Caenorhabditis elegans: one gene and its partners. The protein of the gene in region 2 interacts with the protein of the main gene of each other region in a pairwise test. Each region holds a gene or a part of one and is shown on either strand. Other genes may lie near its edges. The genes, in order: piki-1, R02F2.5 and scrm-5.

Region 1 (3,757 bases), on a different chromosome or scaffold from region 2:
AGCATGAAGTATCTGTCTGATACTGGGTGGTCTATAATCAAAAAATATGGACCACCCAGTAGATAGCATACACTAGAATACTAATAAAATTATCTTCTTTGCAAAAGTCTAATATTTTTAGCTTTAAACCTAATTTTCCTACCTCGTCTTGTGAAGCATTTGAGCTATCCTCAAAAGCGCTCAAATCAATCAAGTCACCATTGAGAAGAGCTCCGTACGATGAGTTGAGGGAATGCATTACGTATGGCACGTAGAGATGAGTTAACGGCTGATACTGAATGCTATGATCATGACTGCCAGTTTGATTAGACGATGTGTCGACTGTCGAGTTGAAACTTATTTCGAATGGCTTAATGGCTGAAATTCAGAAATACATGTATTTAGCAAATATATATGTTTTTCATTTTCAAGAATGTGCATGACACCGCAGGAATTTCTCTACATTTTTGCATAATTCCAAAAAAGAAAACAAGAAAAACAATCTGACCCTTTTTCGTCAAGTGTCTCCTTCAATTTTTCAAACCAACCAAAAAAAAGACAATAAATTGTTTGAATAAACTCACGGGACAGAAACTGCTGACTGTCCGACGCGAACGATGGAGCTGAATGTCTGAGCGGTGTGGAAGAGACTGGAGGTGTGGGATGTATCGGCACTGGAGGTGACTGTTGGACTCTCGAATGTCTTGGCGGCACTGGTGGTGGTGGTGGGACAAAGTAGCGATCATGGAGCACTAAATAGCCTTGTAAAATTAAACAGGATTTTTTTTGTTCTTTTGGAAAATGTATTTATTGATATGATATTATACTTTTAGGACGTACTAATTATATGTATACTCTTCTAATATAAAAATTAAAACTTACATGGAACTGATGGAGCCGGTGGAAACTTATACTGCTCTGGTTTTGGAGGCCTCGGTGGAGGTGGAAACGCCGGCGGCTGGGACGTGGAAGCTATTGCAGACCAGTCTTGGAAATAGTTTCTCGGATATGATTGCGAGTGTGGAATCGGTCCAGCACGAGGCTCGTTGTAGACTGGACGGAAATCAATGGGGCTTGTGGCAAGTGAGCTGCAATGATAACTATTTAATTTTGAGCCGGCTAGGAAATCGTCAGCTCTTTTTATTCCGTGTCAATTTAATCGCTTTTGATTTTTGACAAGCTGTAATTTGTTAAAAATTAATTTCAACAGTACCGTATAGAATCGGTTGTGCTTGTTCTTCATCAAAAAATAGATTTATAAAACATATTTTCCAAGATTTAGAATTCAATTTTTTTTGGTTTATGAGTCACAATTGACACAATAATTTTTCTATTTTCAAATTGAAATACCAAATGACTCACCCCGAATAGGACGAAGGTCCCGGACTATTCGCCTCGTACAACTGCTTTATCTGGTTGATTTTCCGCTGGCGCGCTGGCTCATCAGGACTCTCAAATCGGATCAAGTCCAAGTCGTTCGACCTCAGCTTCTGCTCGTCTTTGAACGTTTTTCTGAAATTGTGAGACGTCATGAAGAAAGAAGAAGAAAGGAGAAAAAAGTGCTCAGGGTCTCCCGGGCCATGGGCATCAGGTGTCTTTTTACACAACTCACTTTGAAATTTCGATGGCTAGTTGGAGCTCTTCATCGTCGCTCATAATCCTCCTTCACGCCCAGTTTGCGAGCTGAAAATTATTCTAACTGGATAAAATAAAAATCTATGAATAACTAGAATTTGAAAATGCTAAAAAAAATAATAAATAAATTATTCACATGTTCACTATTAATGTTAATAAAAATATGATGGTTGAAACAGCTACTACACAAATAACAAGCCTAATATTTTCAAATTTTAAAATAATTTCGAAATAAGCTTATTCAGCAAAAAAAACGCATATTGAGCTTTGCATTAATCAATCCAATTGGTTAACTAGAGAACAAAAAACACCATATGGACGCAGAGGGAGAACAAGAGAAAGAGAGGAAGAAAGACAAAGACAAGTGACCTGTTTAACCAAAAAAGAAGACGAGGACGAACGGGGCAACACAAAAAAAACGGTGCAGGAGGAGGAGGCGATAGTGTGTCTGCGCAGACAAACAGTGTGCAAACACCGTAACGTAAATCCACACACAAACATTCTTGTTTTTTTTCTTCCCGGCAAAACGGTTCGGGAAAAAACACATACCGAAGGGGAAAGTAAACACTTGGTTTTTGGATTGTTTTGGGGAATATTTGTATCCAAAAACTTCATGTCAATACTTTCGCAATTTTTTCAAGACAACTAAATTTTGTGAATCAGTCCGGTTGTCAGGGAAAAAGAATATGCAGTGTACACCTACCAGCCGTCACTACTACTATTAATTGCGCATTTCCAATCACCAGCGCATGCCCTTAAGAAACGAAAAAACAAGACAACGACTTTTTCTTAAAGATTAGCACACTTTCTTATCAGTTCTTGCATTTTGATTCAGAACTATTTCAAAAGTCAATAAAATTGCATTGTTTAACTTTGAGACAATTTTCAGAGTATGTTTTTACTTTAGGCAACATTCGATGCTGATGATTGTACTTCTTCGCCCAATTTAAAAACTTCCGATTTGGAGCCACTAAGAGGCCATCTGCCACAAATCGCCCGTTTACAGGAGCTGTTGGACTGGAGCTGGAGAACTGGAGCTGTTGGAGCAAGTCTGCGGGTTTTGCGTTTTTTTTATTTTAATCTGAAGTACAACTTTGTAGTTTATGATATTTCTTCAAAAAATTTGATGGTCGAGATAAAGTTGTGTTAATTGCGGCACTTTCATGCCTGTATTTTCTTCGTCTTTTTCTGTTCATATCTCGGCCATCAAATTTTTTGAAAAAACACCATCAACTACAAAGTTGTACTTTAGATTAAGATGAACAACTTTGTAGTTAATCACTTTGTCAGAAAAAATTTTTCAACAAAGATATACACATCCAAAGGAAATGCGTTTTTTGAACTTAGGGGTTCTACTGAACCCCAGGTTTTCGTCTGAAATCGTGCTCTGAACATCGAAACTAAAAAAAACAATCAAATTTACATTTTTCTATGACATATGAACAAATTAAGAAAAGTTTTCAAAAAAAAATTTTCGAAAAAATTTTAGAAATTTTTCATAAGGGCGGACCCTTTGGATTTTTTATTCAAAAAAATCCAAATTTTTTTTCATAATTTGTCAAATATTTATCAGATATTGTAAAAATATGTTTCCCTAATTGTATCTATGTACTTTCTTGCCAAATGTGGTGCTTTCGAAAACTAAGAAACTGTAAAAACCTCTATTCCTCTATCTGATCTACCTACTATGACAGTTTTTCGAAGTCATGTCCCACATCGGGCAAGCAAGATATCAAAAAATTGTCAACTACAAACTTGTTCAAGTTCTTATGGAACATGTTTCATGTTTAATAGTTTATTGCTTTCTGTGCAGAGTACGGAGATATCATCAGTCAAAATTAGTGATATTTGACTCATAATTAGGTGCTCCTACCTGCTCAGCCATGCAAGATGGAAAAAAGATACACTATGTAATTTGTCAATCACTTCATTCCTAATAACTTTCTAATTGAAAAGTTTTCAGCTGCCTGCGGAGCTAGAACACTTTGGAAGTACTCACTTTCTATGAACAAGCGAAATTGACTGTTGTATTTTTTTGCCCAAAAGTGTGATTGAGCCATAAAAACTGTGGAAAATACTAAAATACACATTTTCTACACAATCAAGAAATTTTCAAAAATTTTGGGAAAAAAATTTTCATACC
Region 2 (3,204 bases):
AAAAAACATTTAAAATTAAAGTTCTTTTTTGAAAACCCATTTTAAAACGTTTTATCTTTTTTTTCAGGATTGTCAAATTGATAAAAATGAGAACTAGTATTTCTTGAGAAATTTCCCTTTTTTTTAAAGAAGAAAATAGACATTTTAATTTTAAATAATCTGTAATAATCACTATTTCTTCTCGAACTCGATTTTTTTTAAAAATTCTGTCAACTTATTAATTTTCGAAATTAGGGGGAGCTTGTTGAGTATGTTTTGGTAAAAGTTACCAAGAAAAACGACTAAATTGAAATTTTAAAAAAACCTTCAATTATTCTCAAAAACGGTCTAAATTTTTATTCTTCAGCTGACTGCATCAATCATTGGAGACGCAGTATTCTATGGATCAGACAGTCTACTTGCCATGTCAAAACTACATTCACTGGCCGATAAAAATGCATCCGCGTTGCTCGCCACGAATCTTCCAGTTGTTGAGAGAACCCGATACAAGAAGTTCCTTTCTACGATCACGAGGGCTTCGAAGCGAATTTATTAATTGTTTTTTTTGTTATAATATCCATTTTTATGTTGTTGATTGTTCATCTTGTTCTGTTGATTTTTAAGTGTTCAATTAAAAAATTTATTCCAAAAAAACACAAAAGAGTTCAAAAAAGTCAATAGAATCCGCATCCATAACCACCATATCCTCCATACCCGAAATCAAAACCTCCGTATCCATATCCTCCATAAAATCCATTATAATATGGGTCGAACATAACACCACCTCCATAATATGGATAAGGGCTCATGATCACTGGCGGCGGAGCCATGACAACTGGAGCCACCGGAGCAGCACCCATGACCATTGGTTGGGATCCATAGACCACGGGAGCAGCTTGTTGTTGTTGAGGGTAAGCTTGAGCAGGTGCAGCCGGAGTTGCCTGGGGAGCTGCCTGAGGAGCTGGTGTAGGTGCCGGGACTGGGGCTCGCGGAGCAGACTTTCTCTTCTCCACTTCCTTTTCAACCTCTTTCTCCGTTTGGTCGATGCAAGTAAAAAGCTCTGGATCTTCAGGCGTTGGTGATGGCTCCGCAACTCTCTCCGGTGGTTCTGCAATCGTTACTCTCCTATTTTTGGGCTCCACGACTTTCTCAGGAGCTTTCGGTGCTGCTGGAGGTGCGTAGGCCGGTGGAGGTCCCTGTGGGATCCCTTGAGGCTGCTGTCGAGGGTATGCCTGAAAAATCGATATTTTCTTTTATTGATTTTCGGAAAATTATCGATTTTCCCTACCATTTGCTCTGTCGAGGCGTTTGGAGATGGTTGAGTGTGCTGACGATTCTGAAAAGTTGAGGTACAAGGAGGAGTTCTTGAGCTTGACTTCAAGGCGACCTTCGTCTGCCTTGTGTCTATTCAGTTTTTTTTATGGAACCCGGAACAGGGATTATAGGCAGGCACGGTCACCTCATATGAAACTTGGAGACTTACCATTTGGTCCGAGCGTTGGTTGTTCCGTTGATTATTTCTAGCTTTCTTCGATTGACAGCATCCCATTTTTCATCGATATATTTGAGTTCTTTTGATTATAAAGTAAGTTGGGAATAAAATTTTTTAGCGGCAAGTTTGAACATTTGAAAAATAAATCATTTCCAAAAAAATAACTGCAAGGCGTTCACGCAGAAATGGAAGCGGCCGACACTTTCCTTTTTCTAATGCCAGCAGTCGACACTTCCCGTGGATAAATTTTGGTGGATCAATTTGCCAGTTTCGGACCGATTAACTAATTTTTAGAAAACAATCTCAGACTATTTTTATTGCAAAAAAAGGATCAATTATCAATTATTTCTTATCGGAAATATTTTCAAGTCACTTCATCTTCTTCTTACTTTTCATTTGACATCTCGATTAAAACATAAACGGATCACAATAGAATGGATCACCGTAGTACATTCCACCTCCATAACATGGATAAGGATCCACAATGACCACTGGCGGAGGAGCAGCCACTACGACTTGCTGTTGCGGTGGATAGTATGGCTGTTGAGCCCCATACGCAGGAGGCGGTTGTGGCTGGTACGGGAGACCTGGAGACGGTTGTTGACGTTGAGGTTGTGGAGGCTTCTGTCCATTGGGAGGTGGAGCTTGTTGCTGCTGCTGCTGTCGAGGTGGAGGTGGAGGTTGATTCCTATTCTGAGGTTGATTCTGGGCAGGATAGGGGCCTGATTGGGTTCCGGTTTGATTCTGAAAATATAGTTTTTGAGACGAGGAATCTCTAAAAATGAATGCTGTCGAGATTGTAAAAGGTGTGCAAAACTATAGTGACTCTACAGTAACCAGGTAATAAACCTGCGCCAACCGTACCCCTAACAACACGTAGTACTTTGGTTTCAAAAGAGTTCGCAGCGAAAGCTGATGCAAGCTTAAGCGTACAAGTACAGTATTACTACAGTAACACTGTAATTACAACGATGAGCTACCGTAATCTTGCAATAAACCTATGAAACCCGCTACCGTACCACTACAGTAAACCAATCGAAACTTGGTTCTGCAGAGCGTAATCCTACAGTACCTACCATTTGTTGTCCATTTCGATTTGAATTCCTACTATTCTGCTTGTTTTTTGAACCGCAGCATCCCATTTTCTCACGGCTTTCAGAAATGAATTTCTTTGAGTTTGAAATTGATTTTTGGAAAGTTTTACACGTAAATGTTAAACTTTTCGACTTTTTAAATTATTTTTTTCCAGATTTTTATTATTATTATTTAGGCACGAATGAAGTTCAATTTGAGACAGCTAACATTCACGAAAATAGGGGTTAACAAGGAAGGCGCGAAGGCAAACACAGGTAGGCACGAGGGAGTGAGATAGGCGGATAGGCTTGTAGGCTCAAAATGGTGTATGGACCTGAAAATGTTGATAATAACGCTGATAAAAACGTTGATAAAAACGATAGAATTGTACTGTAGTTTTTATTGAATATCATCAATTCGTAGAAATCTCGGTATATCACCAATACATACACATACACCTATATATATAAATGAATAAATAAATGCAGCGGTATGCACACCCGTTCGGTAAGCAATCCAAGTAGTTCATCCGGTATTAAATGTGGGAGAAGGTAGGGTACCATGAAAGAAGCTTAAACTCTCATTCGGAACCCGTCGTTGTTTTCTTCTTCTTCTTCTTGATTATTGTCAGCTCCCTCAGCTTCTGGTTCATCGGGCTC
Region 3 (3,757 bases), on a different chromosome or scaffold from region 2:
TTTTAAAACAATTTAGCGTACGCCACTCGGAGCGCGCGCTTTGTGTTTCCAAACGGCTGGTAGAAAAATATTTTCATTTTCAGAAATTTTATGACAATTCACCATTCTCTCTTTGCGGTTCTGTTGTTGTGATTCTCTCGAAACGAAACCCAAATGAGAATAATATTTCCAATCTAGTAGCCAAAATTCGATCGCATCATGGAATGGTTCATGTAATTTCATCAAATACTCCATCAGGTGGATCCCAACCACTCACCCTCTATGACCTCTCATTTAAAACAAATGGACTAGCCGATTTTCGAAATGATGATCAATTCAACGATGTAAGATTTCAGAGGTCGCTCCTCACTCTTAATTAATTTCAGTCTCAAATTCGTTTTTTTGGGCTATTTTGGCCTGTAGCCATTTATTCGGTGAATCCTGTAGTGTCCGGAAAAGGCTCCATTGTACTGCCTTCACTGTTCCACACTAAACCCAACGGGACATTCTTTGCCGGGGTCGACTTTGCAGTAACTGTACAGAACCATGGTACAAATTTTGATATGATTATCATAACTTGTTAATATTACAAATTGAGGTCCCATTGATACATTCCAATCATTTTACCTTTCTTGGTACAATGCTTCATCATCTACCAATGGTGGTTTTTATGGATATCCAGGATCCCCATCCAATGAGGTAACGTTTCCTACATGTACTCATACGATACCGTTTTTTGAGGTTACTACCTTTGAAAGTAATAACCTCACGATTAGAGACTAAATGATTAAAGGATTAAAGGTCGATCCGTTTTTCAAGCGTTGTGCACTGATTTTTTTGGTTTTTTGAGACCAAAAAAACCAAAAAATAAATTGCAACACTGATTCAGCAAAAAATTAAACAAATGAGAACAAAAAACCTTGTTCAATCGTTCGTGTGTTCAATTTTTAATATTTCATGAAAAATTCCTGTTTTGTCCCGTTTGATATCAAACCGTGAAATTTTTTTTGTTTTTTGTTTTTTTTAGTTTTTTTTTGTTGGTTTTTTTGAAAATTTCGATTTTTTGTTTCTTGTTTTTTGGTCCAAAGTTCGACCAAAAATTTTTTTGTTTTCTGGTCGAAGTTTGTTTTTGTAATACCTGGTGGTGATCCTACTGGGCGGTAATTTAAGCCACACCCAAGCTGGGGACTGTGGCCGTTTTATAACTTCAGTAACTGTTTGATAAGACAATAAATTTCGAGAGCAGGCTCCAGTAATCCTATGCCTCACTAACAGGGAATATACGTTAGCTATTTCAGAAAAATAGCACAATTCGAGCAGGCTATGGAAACCTCGATGCTGCTATCTACAACATGAAACTTGAGTACTCATATTCTGACAATACGCCAATCAAACTCCAAATTAGACAATACGCTGCGATGTAAGATAATGTTAGTGCTAGTTCATCAGAAAAATAACTTTTTTCAGCGATATTGACTACTGGCCACCATATGCTGACTAAATGCCAAGTTTTGCAATTCATTTGAATAAACATTTGAACATTCCAATAGCTTACACATTTCAACAGATAACACTTCAAAAGTTTTTTAGTCTGGGAGATTGATAAAAATTTGTTTCAAAGTAATTTTGCAGAAATTAAAATTCTGCCACACTATCCTGTATGGAAGAATTTACATGTCGATGTGCATTCTTCTAGTTGATAACTTTGAGACTCAGCGAACGCTTGACAAGTTATCACTGCTTGTTCAAGTACTGATTTCGAGCTCCAAATTTATTGTGCTGGTTGCCAGGAGCCACTGGTTTCAGGTTTCATGCTGCAAAGTCATCTTCAGTGTTTCACTGAAGATCCACAAAACGAATATATAGTTTGGCTGCTTAACCATTGAAAATCTATTAGTTTTTGTTCAGTACCGAAAATTCAGATCGGTGAATTCGAGAAAGTTTTGGAAGAGCTGCGGGATGTTTTTGTTCATAGTTTCTAGAAAATTTGGAGCCACGGGGTAAATAAATAAATTTTTAAATAAATTAGATAAGTTCAAACGTGAATATGAACTTTCTGCCCTTTCTGCCCTATCCCTTTTCCCCACGTATTCAATTTTCGAAACAACAAATAAAATCAATACTCCCTTCGATTGAAATTCATTCATTTTCGACTAGTGAACAACGATCTGATATGTGAGTTTTCTTATATCTGTCAGTGTTCCCCAAAAAACCCGCAAAATTTTTTCAGAAAATGAACAAACAACCGGGACAGCAACCATTGAGATCGCTTAGCTTGACGTCTGCGGCCAAGTCACCTGAGGAGGTTGAGCCGGAGCAGGATTCGAAGAAAGGAGAGCCACGTGCCAAGGCTGCAGGATTCGGAGGAGGTGGAGGTGGTGGAAAGAGACTCCCAGAGGCAAGATCTACGCCAATGGTCATTCCGAACCAGGTAGCAGCGATGCCGGTTCAGATGACTGTAAGTCATTCTAGCTAATAGTGATCGTTTTAACTTTTGACTTTTCAGGGCTTCGTCCAACTTGTCGCCAACAACATTCTCAGCGCCATTGCCCATACCAACTCTGTGATGGTTGTCCAATGCATCAAACCCCTCGAGATCTTCACCGGATTCGAAACTCCGAATCGCTACGTGGTCCATGACATGTACTGCCGCCCGCTGCTTTATTGTATGGAAAGATCGAACATCTTCGCTCGTCAGTACGAAGGAAACGATCGTAACTTCGGAATGCAGATCATGGATACCCACGGAGCTCAGGTGATGACGTGCTTCAGAGGAAGACCATGCTGCTCGACCGATGATTTTCTGAGCACCCAGTTCCTCGATCAGCAGATTGGGATGATGAAGAAGGAGTGCTGCAATCCTAATGTGAGTGCTAGTATCAAGTAAAACTACAGTAATCCAGAGCCCTGAAGCATTCTTTGGAAAAATCACATTTTTCTCAAAAGAGATCTTTTCGCTGATCTGAGTTTGCATCAATCTTGATCGAGCTTAGAGCCAGGGCTGTGCGGCAAATTTTGAAACTTGCAGTGCTCGGCAAACGGCAAATTTGCCGCACACCCCTGATGCCCTATCTATAGTCCGATCTATAATATATCTGTAACTTGGCACATAGCAACCTAGAGTCTTTCCGCTTTGCTCTGCCGCCCAGCCGCAAGACATTGATACACAAAAGAGAGCAAAGCGGAAGGACTGTAGGTTGCAATGTGCCAAGTTTGTACTGACATAGATATAGACTATAGGTTACTAGACTGTCCAAATGTCTTTCAGTATTAAGATGTTTATCTAGAAAGCCTATTACTTGGTACATAGACGTACAGGTTTCACGCCTTTGCTCTGCCGCCCAGCGGCTAGGCATTGACACACTAAAAGAGAGAAACACAGAGCAAGGCGGAAGGACCGTACGTCACCAATGTACCAAGTTACAGATATAAATTGCACTATACAATTGCACTATACGTAGATCTATAGATCTATATCTATATACCGCTGAACGGCAACATCGGGACTAGCATGACACCTTGTACAAGGGCAAACTCGGCAAATTTGCCGAGCTCAACTAACTCCGAAAAATTTGATGTTTTTTGAAGCACCAAAACTACTGAATTTTTAACGCGGCAAATTCGCCAAATTCGCCAAACTTGCCGCACACCCCTGATCAGAGCAATCGTTCCTATAGGCTGAAGCTTTATTAGCTCTTCACCTGAATCTCCCATCCTCCTTGAGACACATCCTATTAACCTTTTCTTTCAGTTCGAGCTCGTCGGATCCGGCTGCAAC

What was found.
Region 1: the proteins of R02F2.5 (region 2) and piki-1 interact in a two-hybrid assay, tested with the Caenorhabditis elegans proteins (2 studies listed by BioGRID).
Region 3: the proteins of R02F2.5 (region 2) and scrm-5 interact in a two-hybrid assay, tested with the Caenorhabditis elegans proteins (2 studies listed by BioGRID).

The regions. Positions count from the first base shown.
Region 1 is NC_003284.9:15,244,731-15,248,487, forward strand, and holds the start of piki-1 (Phosphatidylinositol 3-kinase piki-1), read right to left. Parts: upstream 1,670-3,757; 5' UTR 1,636-1,669; coding exon 1,592-1,635; intron 1,492-1,591; coding exon 1,342-1,491; intron 1,068-1,341; coding exon 862-1,067; intron 732-861; coding exon 564-731; intron 358-563; coding exon 143-357; intron 1-142. UniProt on the Caenorhabditis elegans protein: Phosphatidylinositol 3-kinase involved in clearance of apoptotic cell corpses by phagosomes.
Region 2 is NC_003281.10:5,477,728-5,480,931, reverse strand, and holds R02F2.5 (Prion-like-(Q/N-rich)-domain-bearing protein), read right to left. Parts: upstream 1,615-3,204; 5' UTR 1,529-1,614; coding exon 1,463-1,528; intron 1,316-1,462; coding exon 1,268-1,315; intron 1,212-1,267; coding exon 654-1,211; 3' UTR 604-653; downstream 1-603. Other genes in the region: R02F2.7 (Myb-binding protein 1A-like protein), read left to right, coding at 347-535; R02F2.6 (uncharacterized protein), read left to right, coding at 2,008-2,250; R02F2.10 (Prion-like-(Q/N-rich)-domain-bearing protein), read right to left, coding at 1,880-2,215, 2,548-2,613; Protein lon-1, read right to left, coding at 3,118-3,204.
Region 3 is NC_003282.8:4,160,310-4,164,066, forward strand, and holds the start of scrm-5 (Phospholipid scramblase), read left to right. Parts: upstream 1-2,111; 5' UTR 2,112-2,154; intron 2,155-2,209; 5' UTR 2,210-2,212; coding exon 2,213-2,437; intron 2,438-2,485; coding exon 2,486-2,845; intron 2,846-3,730; coding exon 3,731-3,757.